Linked DNA regions of Oreochromis niloticus. The main gene of each other region encodes a partner of the protein of the gene in region 3 in a complex. Links are inferred from orthologs where the notes say so. Each region holds a gene or a part of one and is shown on either strand. Other genes may lie near its edges. The genes, in order: ksr1a, ksr2 and map2k1.

The links.
Region 1: the proteins of map2k1 (region 3) and ksr1a are in contact, whole or in part, in a crystal structure (PDB 9AXH), measured with the Homo sapiens proteins. The link is inferred for Oreochromis niloticus from reciprocal best matches to the Homo sapiens genes MAP2K1 and KSR1. Residues at the interface, in NP_002746.1 of Homo sapiens: Asp217, Ala220, Asn221, Ser222, Phe223, Val224, Gly225, Thr226, Arg227, Ser228, Met230, Arg234, Leu235, Gln236, Gly237, Met308, Ala309, Ile310, Phe311, Leu314, Asp315, Val318, Asn319; in XP_011523731.1 of Homo sapiens: Asn767, Gln768, Leu769, Lys770, Leu771, Ser772, His773, Leu776, Val784, Arg785, Met787, Thr788, Pro789, Asn823, Gln824, Ala825, Ala826, Glu827, Ala828, Ser829, Ile830, Trp831, Gln832, Gly834, Ser835.
Region 2: the proteins of map2k1 (region 3) and ksr2 are in contact, whole or in part, in a crystal structure (PDB 7UMB), measured with the Homo sapiens proteins. The link is inferred for Oreochromis niloticus from reciprocal best matches to the Homo sapiens genes MAP2K1 and KSR2. Residues at the interface, in NP_002746.1 of Homo sapiens: Val81, Glu102, Met219, Ala220, Asn221, Ser222, Phe223, Val224, Gly225, Thr226, Arg227, Ser228, Met230, Arg234, Leu235, Gln236, Gly237, Met308, Ala309, Ile310, Phe311, Glu312, Leu314, Asp315, Val318, Asn319; in NP_775869.4 of Homo sapiens: Lys674, Arg818, Asp820, Lys821, Leu822, Arg823, Ile824, Gln825, Asn826, Ile837, Arg838, Gln839, Leu840, Ser841, Pro842, Gln877, Pro878, Ala879, Glu880, Ala881, Ile883, Trp884, Gln885, Gly887, Thr888, Met890.

The regions. Positions count from the first base shown.
Region 1 is NC_031975.2:7,566,010-7,573,313, forward strand, and holds the start of ksr1a (kinase suppressor of Ras 1), read right to left. Parts: upstream 3,087-7,304; 5' UTR 2,766-3,086; coding exon 2,556-2,765; intron 1-2,555.
Region 2 is NC_031977.2:30,125,252-30,133,168, forward strand, and holds the start of ksr2 (kinase suppressor of Ras 2), read right to left. Parts: upstream 3,079-7,917; 5' UTR 1,650-3,078; coding exon 1,476-1,649; intron 1-1,475. Other genes in the region: rfc5 (replication factor C subunit 5), read left to right, coding at 3,882-3,928, 4,467-4,531, 4,845-4,981, 5,090-5,169, 5,293-5,366, 5,869-6,028, 6,664-6,745, 7,217-7,346 and 1 more. UniProt on the Homo sapiens protein: Location-regulated scaffold connecting MEK to RAF. Has very low protein kinase activity and can phosphorylate MAP2K1 at several Ser and Thr residues with very low efficiency (in vitro).
Region 3 is NC_031972.2:51,630,668-51,638,460, forward strand, and holds the start of map2k1 (dual specificity mitogen-activated protein kinase kinase 1), read right to left. Parts: upstream 3,050-7,793; 5' UTR 2,827-3,049; coding exon 2,744-2,826; intron 1-2,743. UniProt on the Homo sapiens protein: Dual specificity protein kinase which acts as an essential component of the MAP kinase signal transduction pathway.

The DNA.
Region 1 (7,304 bases), on a different chromosome or scaffold from region 3:
ACACAAAGACAGTCATCGCATGGCAAAGAATTACACAAAGGAACCCAAGAGGTGACTGCACTTTTCCACTAGAGCTGTGATCTAAGATATTACGAGTCACGTGTTCTCAGACAAGTCGATTATTGTCAGATTTTTTTATCTTTATGCTGCCACTTGCAGTAACAACGCAGCGTGTATGAACAGCTGCACCGTGAGCTCACTGCCCACTAGTCGCTGAAGCAGTTTAAACAATCAAACAAAAGTACAGCTAGAATCAGTGGAAATAAGAAAAAATACAATGACACACACACATACAACTGAGGCATAAAATCAGCTAATGAAGCGCAGACTGATGCACTTTTTTATCTCCCCTTCCCCTCCCTGTTCAATTTCTGATTCTGATCCTACAGCAGGAAAGGATCCTGAAAGCTTGCGAGGTCTATAAAGCAGCAAACTTTGACTGGAGGTAACCACATCCACTGCTTGCACTTCTGACTTTCAGAGACACCCCCTAATAACGGTCTCATAGGCGCAGGAAAGAGACCCAGGAGCCTTCAAGAAACATGTGAGAGCGGCACGGCCTGTCCATTGTCATGTAGAACAATGCTGGTGCAAAATGTGTCCACATGACAGCATTTCTCAGGAAGTACTCTGCCAGATCACATCCTGTTGCAGAAACAAGGTACGCATGACCACCGATGAAGAGGGGGTGAAAATGTGGAGCAGGATTCGCTTTGCACTCTTTGTTTTGAACCCATTTATCCAGCTCAGCTCAGGCCCAGGTTTGATCACATATATACACACATATACATATACAGGTGGGACTGAACAGAAAAACTACAAATTTCCAAACTGATTTGCTTTGGTTTCTATTTGAGTTGAAGAATTTGAATATTCATTTAACACCAGGCTTCTTTACTTGAGCCTGCAAAAATTTGTTCCCGCACAGAATAGCTGCCAACTCGCACCTGATGCCTGTCAGCCAGTGAGGGAGCAACTAAATTATTTTATAGAGAATCATACAGTATTCTCAAACTGGATAAAAAGCTGCAGCTGAGTCCATAAAACAGCTCAGTCATCTCTCCTTTGCTTTTGGGTAAATTATTACCCCCCCCGGCCTTGCTGGTGATATTTGTATTTGTGATTCTAAAGAGGTTACGGACACAGTGTAACCTGTGGTTTAAGGGGCTTTTTCCTTCATTAGCAGCAATCCTGGACCGCGCTAAGTATTTCTGAAAAACTAGCTCACTGTATCACTGTGAGGCTGAAAAGAAAGCAATACTTGCCTTTTGGAGCATTAGGGGGGTTTTTTAGGTGTTTTTTTTTATGTAGGGCAACAGCCCAGTTGTTCACGGGGTGTTTGGTTATACAGAAATAAAGGAGACATGGATAATTGATAGCCTCTAGCCAATCAGGAGTGAATATTCCTTTTAGCTAAGGTACAAGGCTTTAAATAAACCATGAACCAGAAAACCCCCATCATCTATCATGTCTCCAGGATGTCACCGTGACATTTGAAGGCTTTGAACTTGTAATATTCAACTGTTTTCCACATCTCCAAGCCTCATCAAAATATACTGTCTGTATCAGCCATTTATATGCCACAGCACCCCCCCCTCCTCTTCCCATCACCCTCCTCAGCAACATCCAGGCCTGAGATAAAAAAACAAACAAAAAACTGGCCCTTTTGTTGAAACGACTGCTATATGTATAACTATGTTTCGCATGTATCAGTTATCATTATGTGGTAAACCGAAAAAAAAAAACGCACTCCCCCGTCCCTCATTTGAATTTTCCTCAAACATGCGAAGTGAGAGCAATATAGCGTGCGTCCTGTGCTGACGCCTGCACGCCACCAGGCATGACTTCTCCACCGTGCCGCCTGCTATAGTAGGATATGTTGCTCCAAAAGAGCAACGCGCAAAGCAATGTCAAGTCATCCCCGCACGACGTAGGTGAATCTGCATCCAGATGCAGGAGAGCAGCAGCAGCAGCACACCAGCCTTTGCCTGCTGGATGGGGGGGGGTAACCACATGGATCGCGTCGTACATTTGTATTTGTCTCACAGGCCCCACTGTATGGAGGCAAAACCAAGTGTAGAGCGCCATACACGAACATATACATATATCTATATAAATAACAGCCGTCAGAGGCTATTGAATGTGTGCCATGAGGCCAAGCTCAATACAGCTGCACGGCACGGTGTTTGGAACTATCCGAAGAGCTCCGGGCAAATAAAGATCTTCTTCTTCTTTGGAATATTCTAGAGGGATGGTAAAACCGAATGGGACAAAGCAAAACTTCATTATGAGTTCCTTTTATTGTTTTGGTTTTTTAATGTTTATTTTTGAGTCACCTCTACACAGTGAGCCAGCAGTAGCCCGTAAAGCGACAAAATGTGCTCGGCTCACTGACACTGATAGGGCGCCCCAGCCAATATTCAGCCTGGGAGGCGGACATAGCGCTGGGGCTTCATGACTCCGCAATTTGGCTACACTGCTTTCTATCTCCGGACGGGGCTTATGCACTGAGCCCGTGCTCGGGAGCAGGAGGAGGAGAGGGGGAAGCTCATTACCTCTAAAGTTCGTATTTCCTGCTGTGTGAGGTCGTTGGTGGCGGCGCATTTGGTGCGTAGCCCCTGTAAGCTGGAGATGGAGATATCAATCATATTCTGGATCAGTTCGCACTGATGTAGCGCGGCCATCGCTGCGCCACCGCCGCTATCCCTCTCCGGCTGCTCATCACTCTCGACCATCTTTCCGCCTTTAGCAGACACACTATCCATTCCTCGGCATTGGGCACGGCTGGAAGGGCTGGAGTTAAAGTGTTAAGCTAAAAAAATGTCAAATAAAAATAAATCAAACATATGCAGCAGTCCGGCGACGCAGCGACCTATTGTGGAAGTTAGCTGACAGCAATTGTCCCCAGCTCCGAATCTGGAAAAAAAAAAAGAAAGAAAAAGAAAAGAAAAGAAATGGAAGCCCTCCGTGCAAACAAAAATGTTGACAGAGATCAAAATAAGGTGCTCGACGGTGACCCGGGTCCAAAGTCCAGTGAGGCTCGACTGAGAGGATACTCAAAGCTTCCACCGACACAGCTCTGACAGAGGCTTCCACCGTCTGTCAGCTGTTGGGAACATCATGGAGCGCGGTGCAATCTGGGAAATGAAGTCATATAGGTTACACCAACGTGCACTCCTCTGTCGTCCGTTCGTTGCTCACGCAAGAAAGCGAATGAAGAAAATGAAGGTTTTGAGAAGTATTAAAGTAACTTGGCTTCATCCGGGTGTCCTCCTATTTATTTTAATTTATTTTTTTGTTGTATTGCAAGGTAGGAAAAGCGTATTAATAATACAATTAACGACGGCTTAATTGCATTAAACTGTTTTGATATACTGCAGGCTGATCCACTGTCACGTGGCTTACTGGCACTTATCAGGGTTTTTGTTGTTTTAAATATCCGTGCTTCTCCTACTGTGACAATTTTTCAGCTGGGAGAAGATAAGTATGCAGGGTCAGAGGTAGAGAAGCCTAAATGCAGGGGCGATTCTAGGATGAAACCTTTAGGGGGGGGGGGGGGCTCAGCCTCCAATCATAATGTAATGCATACAGTATACGTGTCTGTGTAAAGGCCTTTAGGCTCAATGATGTTCTCCAGAATTTTGAGAAATAAGTTAAAGAACTATTTGTAGAAAAGCGAGTGAGAGGAGAAATGTGCTGTTTCAGTCTCTTAACCATATAAAGACAGCCCATCTTACTTACGCAACTACTTATCTCTTACTTCTACTTAAAAACCTCAGTGTGAGTGCACTGTAACATCACGACATCAACAACTGTGGACATTTAAATCTGTTTTCACCGTAACCTGCACCCACTCCAATAGAAAGGTTGGCAAAATATAACATTCAGTAATAGCAAAAAACATGAATATTACTTTACTACTGTAATTTTTTAGTGCAATTTAGGGATGCTAAGTGTCCCCCCCCCCCCCAAAAAAAGGCCTAAAACCCCAATGTACCTGGATAAATAAAGATGATGTAAATCACTTTGTATAGCTCCTACCTTGTAACAGGAATGATCTTTGTGTTTCAAAATGACTTGACATCATTCATTATAGATATGTTTGACAGATTATAGTCCAGCAGGTCATTTTAGCAAATAGTGGAAATCGCTTTTCGGCAGCAAAGCAGATACTAAAGGAACTGCAAAATAATGCAAAATATACTGCTGTGGTGCTACGAGGACATCCAGGCCTCAGCATACTCCCACTTTTTCTATTCTGATTGCAGATCCGTACAGAGAGGCAGGGCAATTCCAGAGTAGCTTTGGACACCAAGAATAATCACCACCTTTCACCTCACTTGCAGCTCCATACACTGTCATTATACTGTGTGGAGCAAAGCTGATGCACCAGAAGAACTATTTGGATAGGAAATTTAGCAATATGATTAAAAGAGTGTCGACTAGTATATTCCCGTATTCCTTGTATTTACTTTCCTTACACGCTTTAGCAAAGACTGTGAATCAGTGCCGAATCGTCAGTTCATCTGATCAAGCTCACAGACTGTAGGCAACATCATAACTGCATGTAGTGAAATATACAAGGTGTACTTTGAGTAAAAATGAGCTTTACACCCAGAGAATAAAGGATATGTGGATATTTAGTATATTTTTATATGCATATTTGGCACAAATGAGACTAAAAAAGTGATTTTATTGTCGTCCTCACAGAGCAACGAAAGCCATAGAATGCATGGAGGCAGAAATGAAGGAATAACAATTTGTTACTGCAAAGTCGAAGCCGAGGTAGGTCGTCTGTCCTCATATCAGGACAGTGCATATTATATCTGTGGGGGTGGGATGAATTTGCAGGTTTCCACAACCGTTAAGTAGCAGTACACATGGCTTATTGCTGCAATGAGGGTGTGATGTTCCTTCCTTTAATATACCCTGATTATACAATGGAACGTGAGTCACTTCTCATGGAGCCCTCTGTTCCTTCTCCTCCATCTGTCTGTCTCTTCTCCTCTTCTGATTTGCAGGGAAAATGTAACTGTGTCTTACACCAGTCCAAATATCAGCTGCACATGGTAGCACATAGAAATCAGACAGTGCAGAAGTGAAAAACCACGTAGAGGGATTAGAAACCTCACTCTGGCTGTTTTCGTACACCACTGAGTCGGCCTCAAATCACTTGAAGCTATTAAAGTCAAAATGAACAACTTTGGTTCGACTTAAAATAATCTGTAACCTGGTTGTATTAAAATGTTATGTTTATTAATGCACATACAGTATATGCGAGTTCTTACATTTAGAATCATGGGTTAAGAAAGGTGACGCTGATAAGTAGTCTCTTTATGTTTGAAGTTTAATCAATATTTACTCGCAAACAACACATGTCAAGTTGGACAGACCTAAATCCTGACTGAAACACAAAAGAGACTTACTAGGAAATCCGACAAGCTTAGATTGCTATATGAAATATTAAAATGTAAGTCGATTAAACTAAGCAGCTTGTTGAATTGTCTTATCTTTTCAAGGCGGCACTGTTACTTTCTCACAAATATATTAGAAGTACATGTAACAGCCTTCCTGTAATGGAATGAAACAGACACAAAGTCTCACTCTCAAGCTATTGTTGTTGTTGGTCCACCACTTTGTGAATTCAGCCTTGCTGTATTAACAGCACAGATTTGATGATGAAATGCCAGCAGGACACCACGCCAATTTCAGCTCCTCTCTGCTTTCAAAATCAAGTTACAAAGCAGTAACAGAGGGATCATTGTAATAAGGGCTTTACAAAGAAAACAATACTAGTATGCTAAAAGTTTCTCTTATCGAGGACGTGCTCTTTTAATCAAACATACCAAGCAAAATGGAAAAGATGGCTATTCTGTGTTTCGAAATATAATGACATAACTGTTAAACTCACATATGACAAAAAAGGTGAATTTTGAGCAGTTTTGTTTTTACTTCAATTGCGCTCTTTCTCATGAAACATGTACCGTGTTGCTAAGGACAACAAAAAAAGAAAAATCAGTCTCACCATTTGTTCCTCCTCTCTGTGTTCTGTTTTTGCTGCAGTTTTTTTTTCCAAGATTTTGTTTCCATTTTAAATGATACTTGAAAATGACTGGCCATTGAAATAACACTGTACATCATGTAAGAAATCCCACAAGTATCTTAGTGGAGCATAAGTACAATGGTCAGCTCGCTTGACACAACTCAGAGAGCTGAGGACGACATGATTCTTTCACAGCCTCATGGTCTCTTAAGCCCTTTAAACTGTTGTACTATTGGACAGCCAAGACACAACACACAGCACGGAGCTCCCGGCTTTAGATTAAATTAGACTGTAGACAATCTAATTCCATCTCCTTTGCTAGCCAGGATTCCCAGCAGGCATCCGTTCAGGTCTTCGGAGGGTGAGCCCCAAAAAGAGCATTTAAGACCCACGACCTCTGACCTGGAAAGCCTGCCCATGAGGCCTGCAGCACAGCTAACAAGACACTTGTCTCATTGCACTGTTTGGATACTTATCCCAGGTGCACATAGCTTTGTAAACCCTTGAGAATTTTCTATAATTCTGCACAAACACGATTTTTTTACATCAGTGAGACAAAACATCACAAGTCAGGCTATTTATTTAACCCAGTAGTATTTATCCAATCATAAATGTTTTCATTAGATAACAGTTTCTGGATTACAGGCAGGAGAGTTCACCTGAACTCCTTCACCATGAGATCTTTTTGTTGTTGTGTCCCGCAGAGTGTAGTTTGGTATTGTCTTGTTGAAATAAGCAAGTTCTTCCCTGAATGGCAGCATATGTGGCTCCCAAACCTGTATATATTGTTCACAGCATTAATGGGACCTTCACAGATTTACAAATTACTCATACCATGTGCGCAGATACCGTCACAGATGCTGGCTATTGAGCCAGATGGTCTCTCTCTTTATCCATGAATGCAACTTCTGTGATTTCCTAAAAAAGATTTCAGTTTTAGTGTAACTTGAAGGATCAATTAAGTATGAGTCTTTTAGCCTTTCAGTCCAGTTTTTCTTCTTTAATGACACTTCTGTAGATGATGAAACCTTTAAGCGTCCATAAAATTTTAAATTGTTGGCCTATGTGCCCACAAAGCCTCACAACTTGATGACCCACTCCACAACTTTACTTTGGAAAAGCTCTGAGAGCTCCTCTGTTATTTCACCCAGTCCTGTTTCTATTTAGGATAATTAGTTGTGAGATGTTCCACTGGTGGGAAACTCATTCTTAAGAATTTTGTAACTTTCCAGTCTTTTGTTATTCACATATATATATATTT
Region 2 (7,917 bases), on a different chromosome or scaffold from region 3:
TGACAGAGAAAGTGGTGTTTCTTGCACTCCAAATACAATCCTTTAACTCAGCTTCTGAGAGAAGATTATTTTTCCTTCAACTAACGTGTCCTTTTCATACAGGTATTAGCCATGCAGCACAGTTGCTACAAACATGCTAATAATGGATGCCAAAATTTTCTGAAAAGAACTGAACACATAGCTTGGGTATATCCTAACTTTTGGTTTAGGCAAATTAAAAAGGATATCCTTACCCTTCTTAAGTTTGGAGAAATAGGTCAAACCATGACACAATCAATAAAATCTTTCTGATAAATCCATTCACAAAAATTTGTCAGGCTAATTTTACTGGTGAAATAAAAATAATACCCCATAATGCTTATAACTAGTAATCCAGTACCGAAAGCGCTTTGCAAAGCATGCAGGGAACATAGTGAACACTTATCTTCACAGTGTAGCCTGCTCATTGCTGGCAGAGCATTTGCACTTTATATATTTAGTTATTTCTTCACTTGGATTACATTCCTGTCCCCTGTCCAGCACTTGCAAACTCCATTTAACAGCTCAGACATGAATACTTTGCAATATGTTTATGTGTTATGCACAGTCTCATATTCCTGTGGGGATGAGATTAAGTGTGTGCCACTCACAAGTGATTTCTTGGTATTTTGTTAACGTAGTATCTTAATTATTCTCCCACTAGGACTTAAAGTCTGTTGATGGCGCACACAAAGACTTAGTGGTGAGTTTATGGAGACCTTATCACTTAATGGTATTTGTTTCAATCTCATGAGACATCACAATAACATTCTTATAGGCCCTAAATGCCGTGCTGTGTCTGCAGTGCTCAATAGGCTATAGTGAGTTTGCAGTGAGCTTATCGCACTTTATGGCATCTTTATGTCCTGTAACAGCCTGTCAGTGGTAAGGGGTTTATTCGACTGGTCTAAGTAGTCTCAAAAAGGGCAGCCTGATATCTCAACACACAACATGACCATTACGTAACGCAATTTACGGAATACCCCACGGGCCAATTAACGGATAACGATATTTTGTAACAATTTCAGTAATCTGCCAGCCTTGCATAACGCAGGGCCTGGCTGCGAGAACAGATGCGCAGGCTGGCATATTGCTAATGGATTGTAAACACGGGCTGCCTATAGGCCTCGGCTGCCTCAGATATTATTCTGGTGGAGAAGAGCCACCTTCTCTCCCCGCCACCTGCAGAATGCGCAAGTCTATAACAGCTCACTGCAGCCCCTTGGCCTCTTGATTTATTGCACTGCACAAAACAGATAGCAGTGGGCTTTAGCTGAAATCGTTGCATATTTATGCAGTGGCAGCAGAAAAGCAGTCTGCCGTAGAAAAGACACATAAAAATTATGCATAGTGGCCTTGAAATAAATAACAAACGGCGGCAGCCCGCCACCCCCCCATATTGATTTGGATGTAGATGCACAGCAGAAATCCGATGATTCCGCTCAAAGGGTGCTTACCTCCAGCGTTCGTATCTCTTTTTGTGTCAAGTCGTTGGATGTGGCACATTTGGTCCGTAAACCCTCCAAACTAGAAATGCTTATGTCTATCATATTTTGCACCAACTCGCACTGCTGCAAGGCTTTCTGCAAACTAAGATGCTGCTCCTCGCTTTTTGTCATCTCCTCGTTCATAGTTTTGTGAACAGTGGACGTTTTTTTCCGCTGCACTTAACAAAAAAGGAATGAATTAATTCAAAAACAAGGGGAAAAAAATATTGATGATTATTCAAGAAAGGAGCGTGGTGAAACCCACGGAACGGAGCAACCTGCAAAACGCCATGAAACGAGATGTTGAAGGTTTAGAGACGGGCTTTGAGCCGTGAGAGAGTCGACTCCATTGCAACAACAGTCCTCGTAGTTCCTGCTGTTTCATCAAGGTGTCTCTGGTTGTGGGCTAAATCAAACACAGTATGAAGATACCAAGCGGGACTACGCGGTCTGCATCCATTGGGTTCCACTTCTTTCAAATGTATGTTTGAAAAAAAAAAGAAAAAGAAGAAGAAGAAGCTGTTCAGCGCACCATAAGTAGACGCGTCGGGGAAAAGCCTGCTGGTTTTAAAGGTGCTGATGTGCGGACTGGATGCAGGTACTCCCTGTCTCCCTAGGCAGCAGCTGCATCCCGGTTCTCTCCCACCACACCGACATGTTTCCTGTCAATCAAACCCACAGCAACAGCATCGCATCGCCCAGGCACCACCGTGAGGGGCCGTTCTCGCGAGATTACAGAGCAGGGCAGAGAGCTTAATATGCTTGAAACGCCAGGCTAGGGTTAGGGACAAAACTATCCCTCTTTACATGTTTGAAACAAAGATGTCCTTTTACTGAATATGTATGATTCTATTAGTTTATTACAGGCTCATGCTGTGTGCACTCACATCCAAGACACTTATATAGCCTGCAGTCAACAGCTACAAACACTTCAAAATATTTCTAGAAAATGATTTAAATATGCTTTAAAGTTAAATGGAAGAACAAATATTCTTTTCCATTGATTCGTGTGTGACATTTAATTTTTGGCCTAGTTAGACAACTCTGTACTATGCCTGATGATGTTTGCATGTGAGTGGAATCTTCTGTTTTTTATTGTGTGCCTTATCTCATTTCTTCTTCCTCTGTGCTCAGTTTTAATTTGCAGAAGAGATCTTGATCACAGTGAAGCTCCTCAGTTAGAATATAGGTTATAATGCAGACATTACAAATAGAAACTGGATTGTTCAAAAACAGCAATTGCAAAAAAAAAAAAATATATAAACCAAACATTAAGGATTGAATGCTGTCAAAATGCAGGCTGTGATATTAAATCATTATCCTTGACTGATGCAGTATAATGCAGCCTGGGAATCAGGATGCTTTGGAGGTTTCCAGCAACAAATCTGAGAAGTCAAGACGATTAAAGAGATAGGAGATGGTACACAAAATCTTGTGTACTTGTGTGCTCACAGCTTTTTTTCACTAACCCATGATGATCAAGAAAATGTTTCAGAGAAACCTGTTGTGTAAAGTATAAGGTTAGGTAATATTTCAAATTCAGGCTCTAGATAAATATATGGGCACACTGCACTTTTTGAGATATGGACAGATATGTGTATTTTACTGTCAGCACCATTACCAGAAGAAAATATTCCACATGTAACAGAAAATAAATGCAAAAAAATGTAGAAAACATTTCTGACACTCTTTGTCATGTTTTAAGATGGTTAAATATTAAAAGACTCTATTTTGCAAGAACAATTGTGAAGCTTACAAAGATAAACTATAATGAGATTAAGATGTCAGTGTCGTATAAAAGTGAACAAACTACATCTAAGAAGGAAAGGAGTAGACTTTATTTTATTTTTTTTAAAATTTAACAAGACGTTTAGTGCAAGTGACTTTTATTTTAAAAATCAAGATAGCCAGAATACTTTTTTTCTTTTGTTTAAATTGGTGATTCAGACTTCAGTACCATATGCCATCTTTAAAGACTTCTAGTTCTTGCTGTTGGATAAAAAAACAAAAAATCTACTGCTGAGTTTGATTTTCATTTTCACTGATTAAGGAAAGGAATTGTTCAAAATGGGAGAGACAATATTTAAAAATGAAAGAGGAGACATATACCTTCGTTTTTATGATGTTTGATATTGTGTATCTTTTATTGTTACAATTTCTAAATCCCGTTATTACTTTTTACAGAAGAGAACGAGTCACCGATACTCCGCCCATGAAAACGACAATGTGATTTCATTGGTTGTACGTGGTGACGTGTGACGTACGTTTTGTTTGCGGAGCGCGCCAAACAGGGCCATCAACAGTAGTAATCGCAGTGGCTTAAACTCTGGAACCCTTTAGCTCAGCTTGGCGTAAAATTCACGCTTGGTAGGATACATGGCTTCTACAAGTAAAGCGCCGCTACAGACCAGAAATTTACCATGGTGAGCTGAAAGTCGCTGTTTATCACAGAATGGTTCAAAAAGTTATTGCTAGCTAGCTAACATGCCTACTGTCAAGCTAGCTGCTCACTGCACTGAGTAGACTGATGCATTCTGTGAACTGATAGCTTTATGTACATTTAGAAATGACGTTAGTTATTACGCATATTTGTAAAATGGAAGGAAATGAACTTATCTTCAGTTCGGCTTACATAAATCTTATCAGTCCATCAAGCATTAACATGGTGCCACTTCAGCAACAGGTTAACCGAAAACCTGCAGCTTCTGACTGCGGTGAAAGTGCTGTAAGGTTGACGTTTTGTTTATAATAAAGGGTGATATTACGAAAAAAAATAAGGATGCCGAACTAAAAAGTGGGCATCTGTAATGGGATATGTCAACGTTTGTCAGCGCTTATCATATGTATCCGTAGACGTTTCAATAATTTGCTTTAAAATTCATTCGAGGTTGCTTATTTGCCATGCTGTAAACTCAGTAGTTATCGCAAGTATGAATGCGTGTGTGTGTTTTCCTGTTTCAGGGTTGAAAAATACAGACCACAGACACTTGATGATCTGATTTCACACAAAGATATTCTGAGCACTAGTAAGTATGTGGACTGCCAGAATAACAGTACTATAAAACTGTATAACATGACACTTATGGATAAGCAAACTACTTTTAAACCTTAATAAACTGATAAACTCAATGCTATCTGTCAGTGTTTTTGACTCCTGAGCTTGTTTACTGTGGTTATACCGTCACTGTCATTAATGAGTCATGGTACTGAGTCAACTTGCTTAAAACTTTTGTGTTTCAAATTTATAGAACTATTCAAGGGGGGTGCATATGTGGATTGTTAAAGAAACGTCGGTCACTTGTATTTAAACTGATTTTCATTTGTTCTTTTTATTTCCAGTCCAAAGGTTTATCAGTGAGGACAAGCTTCCGCACCTTTTGTTCTACGGCCCACCTGGAACGGGAAAAACCTCAACCATACTCGCTTGTGCCAGGCAGCTGTACAAAGAGAAGGAGTTCAACTCTATGGTGTTGGAGGTATGTTACAACTCCTCATTAGAAGATTTGGATTTGCTGAATTGTAAAGGTTTTTTAACTTGTAACTCTGCCATTTTACATTAAAATATAATTAATTTTGCTTTATAGCTCAATGCATCTGATGACAGAGGTATTGATGTAGTACGAGGTCCCATTCTGAGTTTTGCCAGCACCAGGACCATCTTCAAGTAAGACTAAAACACTTATAGAGATTTTGATCAGAAATAAGTGTTCTCAGTACTTTTACATGCAGTTAAGAAGTGCAGTGGAAATGTAAGCTGCTGCCTTTTTTTATTTATCTTGTCCTTCAGGAAGGGCTTCAAGTTGGTGATACTAGACGAGGCCGATGCCATGACCCAGGATGCCCAGAATGCATTGCGTCGAGGTAAGCCATCTGTTCGTTCAGGCACTACCCACTGTGAGGCACACGGCTCAGTGAGCAGGCAATTTGGCTGCTGCTGACTTACAGTGTATCTACTTTTAAACCTGGATATTTATTTAAAAAGCTTTGCTTTCCAGAAGAGTGGAAATAATTATTGAATTTAACTGTAAAATATTTTGTAAATTTAGTCCAACCTGTGTTTTTCTAATAATGTTTCCATATTTCATTTATAAAGCATCTATTGCTGTGCAGTGCTGTTTTATAGTTCTAAATAGATGCATGGTGAAGGAACAGTGGATGGTATTATTAGTATATTACTGTCAATTCTAAATTCTCAATGAGGTGGTTTACGAGTGTCCTGCACAATCTTAGCAACATTTAGCAAGTACTTAGGATAGATTATTCAAAAAAGTGGATTTTTTTTTTTTATTGACTAAGATGTTGCCAGAATTTACATTTTAAACTTGTTTCCCTGCTTTCATCCCACCCTTGCTCTCTGTCTCAGTCATTGAGAAGTTCACAGAAAACACTCGATTCTGTCTCATTTGCAACTACCTGTCCAAGATCATCCCCGCCCTGCAATCTCGCTGCACCAGGTTCCGCTTTGGTCCCCTTTCGCCAGACCAGATGATCCCTCGGTTGGAGCACGTTATCCAGCAGGAGAAGTGAGTTAATGTGTGAATGCTTTCTCTCCACTTACTGTTGTTTTTTTCGTTTTTGTTTTTACATCTCATTGAATTATTCCCAGAATTGCTAATGAACTTGACAAATGTATTTGTACCTGTTGGCCTCCACTGGGCTCCGCTAGTCTGCCTATAGTGAGAGAAATAATTATTTGATCCCCTGCTGAATTTATAAGTTTGTTCATTTCCTTCTAAATGAACATTCTCTATTTTTATGGTAGTTTAGAGACAGACATAATACCAACCACATTAAAGGTTGTTTAAAATCTAGAGTCTTTGTTCTTATGTTACGTTTCTGTTGGGTAATTTTTAGAAGTTTAGGGCTTCTCTGTGTGTTTGAAAACAGTTTAAATCAGGGGGCAACATCAACCCTGTCCTCTCAACTGTACCAAGCCCTGAAAAACCAACAAATACCACAATAGGAAATGAATTTTCTCATTGTTTCACATTTATTGGTACATGTAACTTGAGATGGAAGAAATTAATGAACGGACTTGGAACTATTTTTGATTGCTCTATTTATTAAATGTCATCAGTTATGTGTTCATGTCGCAAGTTTTAATTTAACTTTGATATGATTTAAAAATAGTTGATTATGTCATTACTTTTTGTGACAGTATTGACATCACGCCAGATGGAATGAAGGGTATCGTGACCTTATCAACAGGTGACATGAGAAGATCGCTCAACATACTGCAGGTATGGCCAGAAGTTCATCATCGGCTCTGTTTAAGATGTGGATGTCATATTCAGTGTGACCGTTTTAAAACAGGCAAAATATAGCCACTGGCCACTTCATTAGTTACACCGTCTGGTGCTGGGGTGGACTCCCATTTTGCCTTCAGAGCTGCCTTATTTCTTTGTGCCATTCCTGAGAGATGTTGGTCCACACAGTTGCTTCAGATTTTTCTGCTTCACATTCAGGATATAAATCTCAAGTACATTTCGCATCCAATATATATCCCAAAGGTGCTCTATTGGATTGTGATTTGGTGAATGTGGAGGCCATTTACATACAATAAATTTATTATCATGTTCAAGAAACCAGTCTGAGATGAGATGAAGTCAAACGGGCATATCTAATGAAGTGGCCGATGAGTAGTATATGTTATATATCCAAACTGCCGATGGATGACATGCAGTACAGTTTACCCATCTCTGTGATTTCAGAGCACAAGTATGGCCTACGGGAAGGTCACAGAAGACACAGTGTACACCTGCACAGGGCACCCCCTCCGCTCAGACATAGCCAACATCCTCGACTGGTGCCTCAACAAAGATTTTACTTCAGCATACAACCGTATCCTATATTTAAGTTCTATGAAACTTGCACATTTTCTGTTTTTGACTATCCCTTTTTATGCTCTGTAGATTTCTTATGAAGTTTAGCATATTCCATATTCCAAGAAAGAACGTTTCCTCCTTGCAAATGATAAAACTTCAGGTTAATAGAAGCTAGCTGTACCTAAATGCTTTGCAAATGTTTTTCAGGATTCAGTGACTTTTTTTTAATGGTGGGTTAACAAAAAAAACTCATATTAGTAGTACAGTTTATGATCTTGCATTTCTTTAACACATTGATGACAGAAATCCTCGAGCTGAAGACTTTGAAAGGTTTGGCTTTGCATGATATTCTCACTGAGGTTCATCTGCTTGTACACAGAGGTAAGAAAAAGAAAATCCCACGTTTTTCTTTCTTTCTTTAATTCAAGCACCCCAGCACAAAAGCCATCCTCCTTTTATGCCAACTTTTGATTGGCTGCCTCTCGCAAACATAAGGTTTGAACAGGTGGATGGGGTTGCTGTGCTCACAGACCTGCCCTAACCATAAAGTATTTGGCGCAGTCTTTGGCCATGTGTAACATGAGTGT
Region 3 (7,793 bases):
GCGCAAGCCAATCGCAAGATTCATGTGCTGCGAGGCAACAGTGCTAACCACTGTACCTGACGTCATACCTTAACTCTACTACAGCTTTACACAATTCACAATTCAATACAATCCCCTTTCATCGTACACCAGCCCTTCATGCATCTCCTCACTTCATTCACAGTCTGAAAAAAAGCCATTTTAGCTCCCGTCCCTATAAAGCCCCTCTTTCTAAAAGCCCACTTTTGTGTTGTTCTCCTGCTTGATCAGTAGTGTAGAAATTCTGAAACCAACATACAAAACCTACACAATGTCCACTTTTCACATTCTTGCATACATGTTGGAGCTCAAAATCTGATCCAGAACAGAGCAGACAGCGACAACATCCACAGCAAAACGGATTTCATCAGAGTTACTCAATAAGCATTGGGCTCATTTTGATGTCACAAGAATGTATAAATAAATAAACAGTTTTCCTTCTTTCTTTCTCTTTTAGCACTCCTTCGCAACTAAGAAGGTATTTGGTCAAGCTCTAGAACTTGCAGATAACTCTTAAGTAGAACACTGAAGAAAAATGGTTCAGGTTCAGGTGATTCTTGGGCTCTTTCTGTGCCCATATAAGGACATTCCTGCCTTATTGACATCAACCAGGCAGAAGGAATGAAAAACAAAATGTTTGCAGCAGCCTTAGCTTTAGGTTCACAGGGATTACATGTACATGATTATCAGCCGATATATATTTTAATAGTGAAAAGATCTTTACATTCAGTATAATAGAATTCAAACTACAGCAGACTTTCCATCAAAGCAAGCTAAAGTCAAACATCTGCCCTTGGCTAAAAGTAAACTGAATCTTTAAAAATCAGAAGAGGAGGTTCTGTTTTTGGTAGCATTTACATGTCTCATTCCTTGCATCAATAAACATGATAACTCAAAAGGTTTTGAATGAATTCTGATAAAACTTTGTAGGGGTGTAGAGTGGGGTCATGTTAACAATCCATTCAAATTTGGCTTACATCCACCAAGGTCTTCAAGGTCAACCAAATGATTTGTTGGGCAAAAACTGACAAAAGCCCTATAAGTTTTACACCTATGGCATGTGTGACATGTATTGTCAACATATAGAGTGTATTGTATATACTGTGTAAAGATTTTAAATATGTCACTTATGACCTTTGACCTCTCCAAGGTCAATAGATTAATCTGAAGGTCAAAGTGATAATAGTGATCTTTAGAGCTATTTTTAAAACTATGTGTCTTACTGGTTAAAATTTTATAAAATGTATTTCATCTTTCAAGCTATGCTACAAATTCAAATACTGGGAACAGTTAAGAAATGATACTGGTTTATGGGGATTTTAAATACCACATTATAGTTTGTATCCAAATGTCATGTCATTTGACCTTTGGCCTCACTTTTACATTTCTACTACTCTAATTTGTATCTTACTGAAAACTTCTTAAAGTATATTCCTTCCTGTTTTTTTTAATGTTTTTTTGTATTTTGTAAATCTTAATGTGGTGGACTAGTGGACACATTAAAAAAAAAATCTTTCTTGTTGCTTTAAAATTACCATTGCTTAATGCAAAATGGTATTCAAACATGACTCAGTGTCATTTTTTTTAGTCTTTAATTCATTGCCAAAGACACAGATGGCCTTCAGATGTGTGCTCTAACAACGAAACAATGATATATTCAGACTCTACAACGCATCAGAAAAGCAGCCATCATAACCGATGACATGTTATGTAACTCTCATCTCCACTGATCCAGCTTGTTGCAGGACTCACTGGGCTTTTCTCAGCAAACTGAGGGCTAGAGGAGGATGTCAAAACAATTTTATGTCTCCATTACTGTGTTTTGTCAAACAATGGTGGGAGCAGGACTTTGCAGAACTTCTTCAGCAGACAGAAATATAATTCTGTGTGCTGCCTCGCTGGAAAGCTCTAACTCTGACTAATCACACCAAGTGGGCTGTGAGAGTAACAAGGAGACCTGTCCATCCATGACACCACGAAGAGGACTTGACAGCCGGATGTTACAGAAATATTATAATGAGAAACACAGTAACAACAATAATTTGTGAAAATGTGAAGTAAAACAGGAAAAATGAATGAAATCATGAGGATTTTGACAGCTATTTAGCACTTGAAATGATAAAGTGAAATGAGTTTCCAGTTTTCTCCATTTTACATCATTATAAATTAAACTTCTTTAACTATTTGATAGCTGATTAGTGTGTAACAAATAGTCCACTGAAGTCTACTGAATTATGATTTAGTGGCTGTTTTAACAACATTCAAGCATTTTCTAGAGCCAAAAAATTATCAATGTGATCAACCTCTGTTTATTCCCTGTTTTATTTCAGTTTGAACGGAGTATCTGTGTGTCTTGGATTGTGCTTGAAGAGTAAATCTAATGAATTAATCAATCAATCAATGCTGTAACCTATAAAAATGCAACATGCAACCCAAACCACATAAGCTATTTGAGGAACCATTAATGGGCATGTGTCAGTAACTTTTCAGATTTAAAAATATTTCATTTTCTCAGTACAGCAACTGATAACAATGCCAGTGATCAATAGTTGCAGTAGAGGACAAGCTCAAATACTTGGTGCAGAGTACTCGAGCACACACACATACGGTATTGGCTGCTGTCATACCGAATCCAACATACATCAGGTTATGTATCAGAAAGCAGTTATCTGTGTACTACATTCCCCTATCTGGATATCAGAAGCAGATTAATATTGACACTCACTCTGTGGCTCCGCTGCCGTTGATAGTGTTTCCATCAGGGATGGGGTTGAGTTGGATCGGCTCAGGCTTCCTTCTCTTCTGCATGTTACGTGCAAGAAACAAGCTGGTGTAAAAAAAAATATATATATAACAACAACAACAAATCAACACACGAGCTGCAGCAGTGTAGACGGAAGCCCGATACAGAAGAGGTATCTGATATTAAGAAGACACTGTTTATCGGCAGTGACTGACAAGGGAAGAAACAGGCAAGGGTTGTAATGAACTGCAAGGCTGAGCAGCTGATTTCTTCTTAATGGGTGGAGGTGAATGAAACGTCACAAAATATTTTCATTGGTCTTCCGGAAAGCGTGGCTGGGCTTGCTGCAGCTCTCCCTCTGCTGGTGATAGGCGGTATTACCATGCTGTTACTAAAGTTTCATTTAAACGAGCAGGAAGGCGGGAATTAAGCGCTCCACTAAAGGGAGCATATTAGCCAAAACTAGAGTAGCTTTGCATTTTTCAAAAATTATCTTTATTTATAAGAAATGCAGTCACTCACTTCATCCTAAAAACTGTTTGAAACATGTCATTTTAGCCTCTTTCTTCGGATTGGCTGCCCCTCCTAAACTGAAAGTTCTAATAACAATTGGGTGGGCCCAGAGCTGTGTGCTTTCAGGGGTATCCACTCTCAGTGACATAAATTATCTGAAACCAGGCACTTAAAGTAGTCTGAAATCTGAGTTTTTGGCTCACAGGGATTACTCATACATATACTGGCCTCTTTATTCGAAACTTCGGCCACATTTAACATGGCCAATGTTAAATATGGTAAAATATTACATAACAGGCTCTGACTATCATTGTCCAAAATGGCATAAAAACCTAATAGATTACCATAACATAAAAAAGGACTACTTTCCTCCACAGGGAACCACACAGTCTGCTACTGGAACAAACTCTAACCAGCAAGCAAATGACAATCACCCCACTAAGCAATAAGTATGATGCTTATGAGGGCCCACAAAATGGACTCCCTGAAAACCATCAAAAACCAGCTAGAACTAAATGGTGACAAAAAAAGTAAAAATATGTGATGGAAGTGTATTTCAAGACCTCATATGACCACTAATAACCTTGCAAACAACAGAAGGGACGTTATTAAAAACGAGACTGACAGAGACTGAAATTCAAAGGATAAAAGATGAAGCATCTCAAGAGCGGGGAAGAGATGTGAATCACCAAGAAAACAATGTTGCAGCATTAAGTGCTGAGGAAAATGAGCAGAGCGATGAAGTAAACCAACCAAATGAATCAGACCACCCAAATGCAACACAGTGCTGATGAAAAAGTAGAGGAAATGGTAAACAACATACTGAGAAAATGGGAGACTGTAAAAGAAACACTGATGAAAGACCACTAATGCTAAAGATTAAATGTGACAGGCATGCAAAATCAGCATTACAAATAACTAATAGAGCAATCATGGCTATTAATGGCTATTAATAGCCATGGCTATTAATCATGGCCACCATCTTCAACCTCTCACTGCTACAGTCTGTAGTACCATCCTGCCTTAAGTCAGCCACCATCGTTCCAGTGCCCAAGAAGAACACAGTGAGCTGCTTGAATGACTATCGTCCAGTTGCTTTAACACCCATAATTGCCAAATGTTTCGAACAGCTCATCATGTCACACATTAAAGCTGCCATCCCTGCAAACCTCGATCCACACCAGTTTGCATACAGGGCAAACAGGTCGACAGAGGACGCCATAATAACAGCTCTTCACACAGCCCTCACACACCTGGACTGTAGTAACACCTATGTGAGAATGCTGTTTGTGGACTTCAGCTCTGCCTTCAATACAGTTCAACCCCACAAACTGGTTAATAAACTAAGCAACTTAGGACTCAGCAGCTCACTGTGCAGCTGGATACTGGACTTCCTGAGCAACAGACCCCAGAACGTAAGAATGGGAGAGCACACCTCCTCCACCCTCATTCTGAATGTGGGTGTCCCACAGGGGTGTGTCCTCAGTCCCCTCCTATACTCACTTTTCACCCATGACTGTTCACCTATCCACACCAGTAACACCATTATAAAATTTGCTGATGACACCACTGTCATAGGACTGATCGACAACAACAATGATTCAGCGTACAGAGAGGAGGTTCAGCATCTGAAGCAATGGTGTGACGACAACAACCTGCATCTGAACACAGCCAAGACCAAGGAGATGGTAATCGACTTCAGAAGAACAAAGCGATCTGAGCACTCTACCCTCTACATTGATGGGGAGGAGGTAGAAAGGGTAGAAAGCTTCAAGTTTCTCGGAGTCCACATCTCGGCCGACCTTACCTGGTCCACAAACATCTCCCACCAGGTAGGGAAAGCACAACAAAGGCTGTACTTCCTCAGGAAACTACGTCAGGCTCAATTACCCCAAAGACTGCTAGTAAACTTCTACCGCTCCACCATTGAGAGCCTTCTGACTTACTGCTGCACACTCTGGTTCAACTGCTGCACTGCGGAGGACAAGAGGAAACTGCAGCGGGTGGTGAGGGCAGCAGAGCGGGCAATCGGCACCTCACTAACTCCCCTCAGAGACATCTATACTGGCAGACTTCAGCAGAAAGCCAGCATCATCATTAAAGACCCCTCACACCCTGGACACTCACTTTTTTCCCCCCTTCCCTCTGGTAAACGCTACAGGTCCATCAGGTCGAAGACAAACAGACTCAACAGAAGTTTTTACCCACAGGCTGTCAAACATGCCCTACCTCCACCCTGATTGGAGGATAACTGCACTGCCAACACTCATGGACATTACACCTTATTTATAAATCGTATTTCTGTTTATACTTCAATGCAAACAACACCCCTACCTCTTTAAACTGTATTTATTATAACATTATTTAGTATAGTTCCAACAGCACCCCCCACCCCACTCAATGTGCAATATCACTGATCACACTGCACCTCTCAATGCACCTGCTAGTTAGATGGCATGTATGTGTATGTATATAGATGTAAGTGTGTATGTGGAAATATGTGTGTGTATGCATGTACGGATGCAAATATGTATATATACATATATGTATGTATGTGCGTGTATGTTTGCAGGTGTATGTATAACTTGTACATATCTTTCTTGTGTAAATGTAAATTTGTCATTGTGTAAATACTTACGCTATTGTGTACTTCACACACATGGAGAGATGCCAAACTGCCTTTCACTGTTCTTGTAACAGTGACAATAAAAAGCTATTCTATTCTTCTATTCTATTCTAAGAATAGGCTTGATGATAAGCTATCCCTTGCTGAAGTGAACAAATTATTTTATGCCGCTGCCTCTGCAGTCAGTGACATCTTAGGCATAAAAATTAGGAGGAGGGGACACAAGGAAACAAAACAGAGACAATGGAAAAAAAAATAAATTGAAGAAGAAAACCAAAAGACAAGAAGTGAAAGTTGAATATTCACTGAAATCACTCGAGGAAATAATGTCAAGAAATGGAAAAGAAGAGTTCATAAGTAAAAACAAAAAAGTTTCACCAAGAATTAAAAGAAGAGGATATTATAATCATGGAAATACCAGATTTTAATTTAAAAAAAAACAACAAACTGTCAAAACATTTGGACTAATATCTGGGAAAAAGAAGAACATCATAATGAAAATGTTGAGTTGATAAAGGCCTTTGAAAAAACAAAGATACATGTGAACAAGCCAGAAATAACAGTGGAGGCAACAACAACAGCTATCCGAAAAATCCAGAAACTGGGAGACCCTGGGGAATTATGGCGTAACAAGCTTCTGGCTAAAACAACAGCACTACATGAAAACCTGACACGATCATAGAAAACCATGAAGGATGGCCTCCTTATTGTTAGTGCCCGACTAATGCAGTCGGCTAACAAGTGGTACTACTTAATCCTACACTGTATAAGACTTTAAAATGAATACCAATAGCCAGATCCTACAAGAATCTGGTGGACAACAACTTGCTAGCACTAAAACAAAAATACTGTAGTTATGTAGGAGTTATGTAGATCAACTACTTAATTATGGCTTAACTTAATAAAGCCATAATGAAGGCGATTAAGACTGGGAAAAGAAATAATCTTACTCCTTTTGGTTGACCACAAGAAAGTATTCAACTCTGTCCAAAATAAGAACATTTCAGGGAAAAATAAAATACAATGGGGAAGTTTAGTTGGTGATTCCTTAATTGGCTGTTCGAGTCACTGTGAATCTGTGTCTCTGTGTTACCACTGCAATAGACTGGCAACCTGTTTAGGGTGTACCACAACTTACTCCCTCTGACAGCTGTATTCGGCTCCAGTCTTCCTGTGACCCCGAATAGGATGAGATGGATCGATGGATAGAAAAGATGTCCTGTACCCTCTAAAGACATTAGATGGAAGAGGCCTTACTAACAAAACAAAAACATTGGACACATACCTCAAAAATAAAGAAGACAATCTCCTTAACAAAGCTAAAGATAGTGAAAGAACTACAAAAAAAAAAAAAAAATCATTATCACTGCACTAATGAAGCCGTTATATTCAAAAGAGAGCTCAATATGCCAAAGATACAACTAATGGAAAATGAGCCAACCACCAGCTAAGCAGAAATGGCAGGCAAACATCAAACCCTATAACAATGAAAGAGAAAATGGGAAGAAAATGCTCCGGACAGTATTTGAAATGAATAAATGGCAGAGATGTGGACCAAACAAGCTGCTGGCTTAAAACAGCAGGCTTACAGTCAGAAACTGAAGGGCTCATTATTCCTGCTTAAGATCAATACATTAAGACCAACTGCTATTGAAAAGATGAGGCTGAACTGAATTGAACTGAAACAAGATCTTGAAACATGGCACCAATTCAATGTCCTTGACAAATGTGACAACTTTTAAAAAGTGGAAGTAAACAAACACTGAATATGTGGCAAATAAGAAGAGACAATAGAACATCTAATGTCTGGCTGCTCTGAATGAACTCAAACAGAATAAAAAGACTTTTAGATCTGTCTATCTTAGATCTGTCAAAACAAACTGATAAACAAAT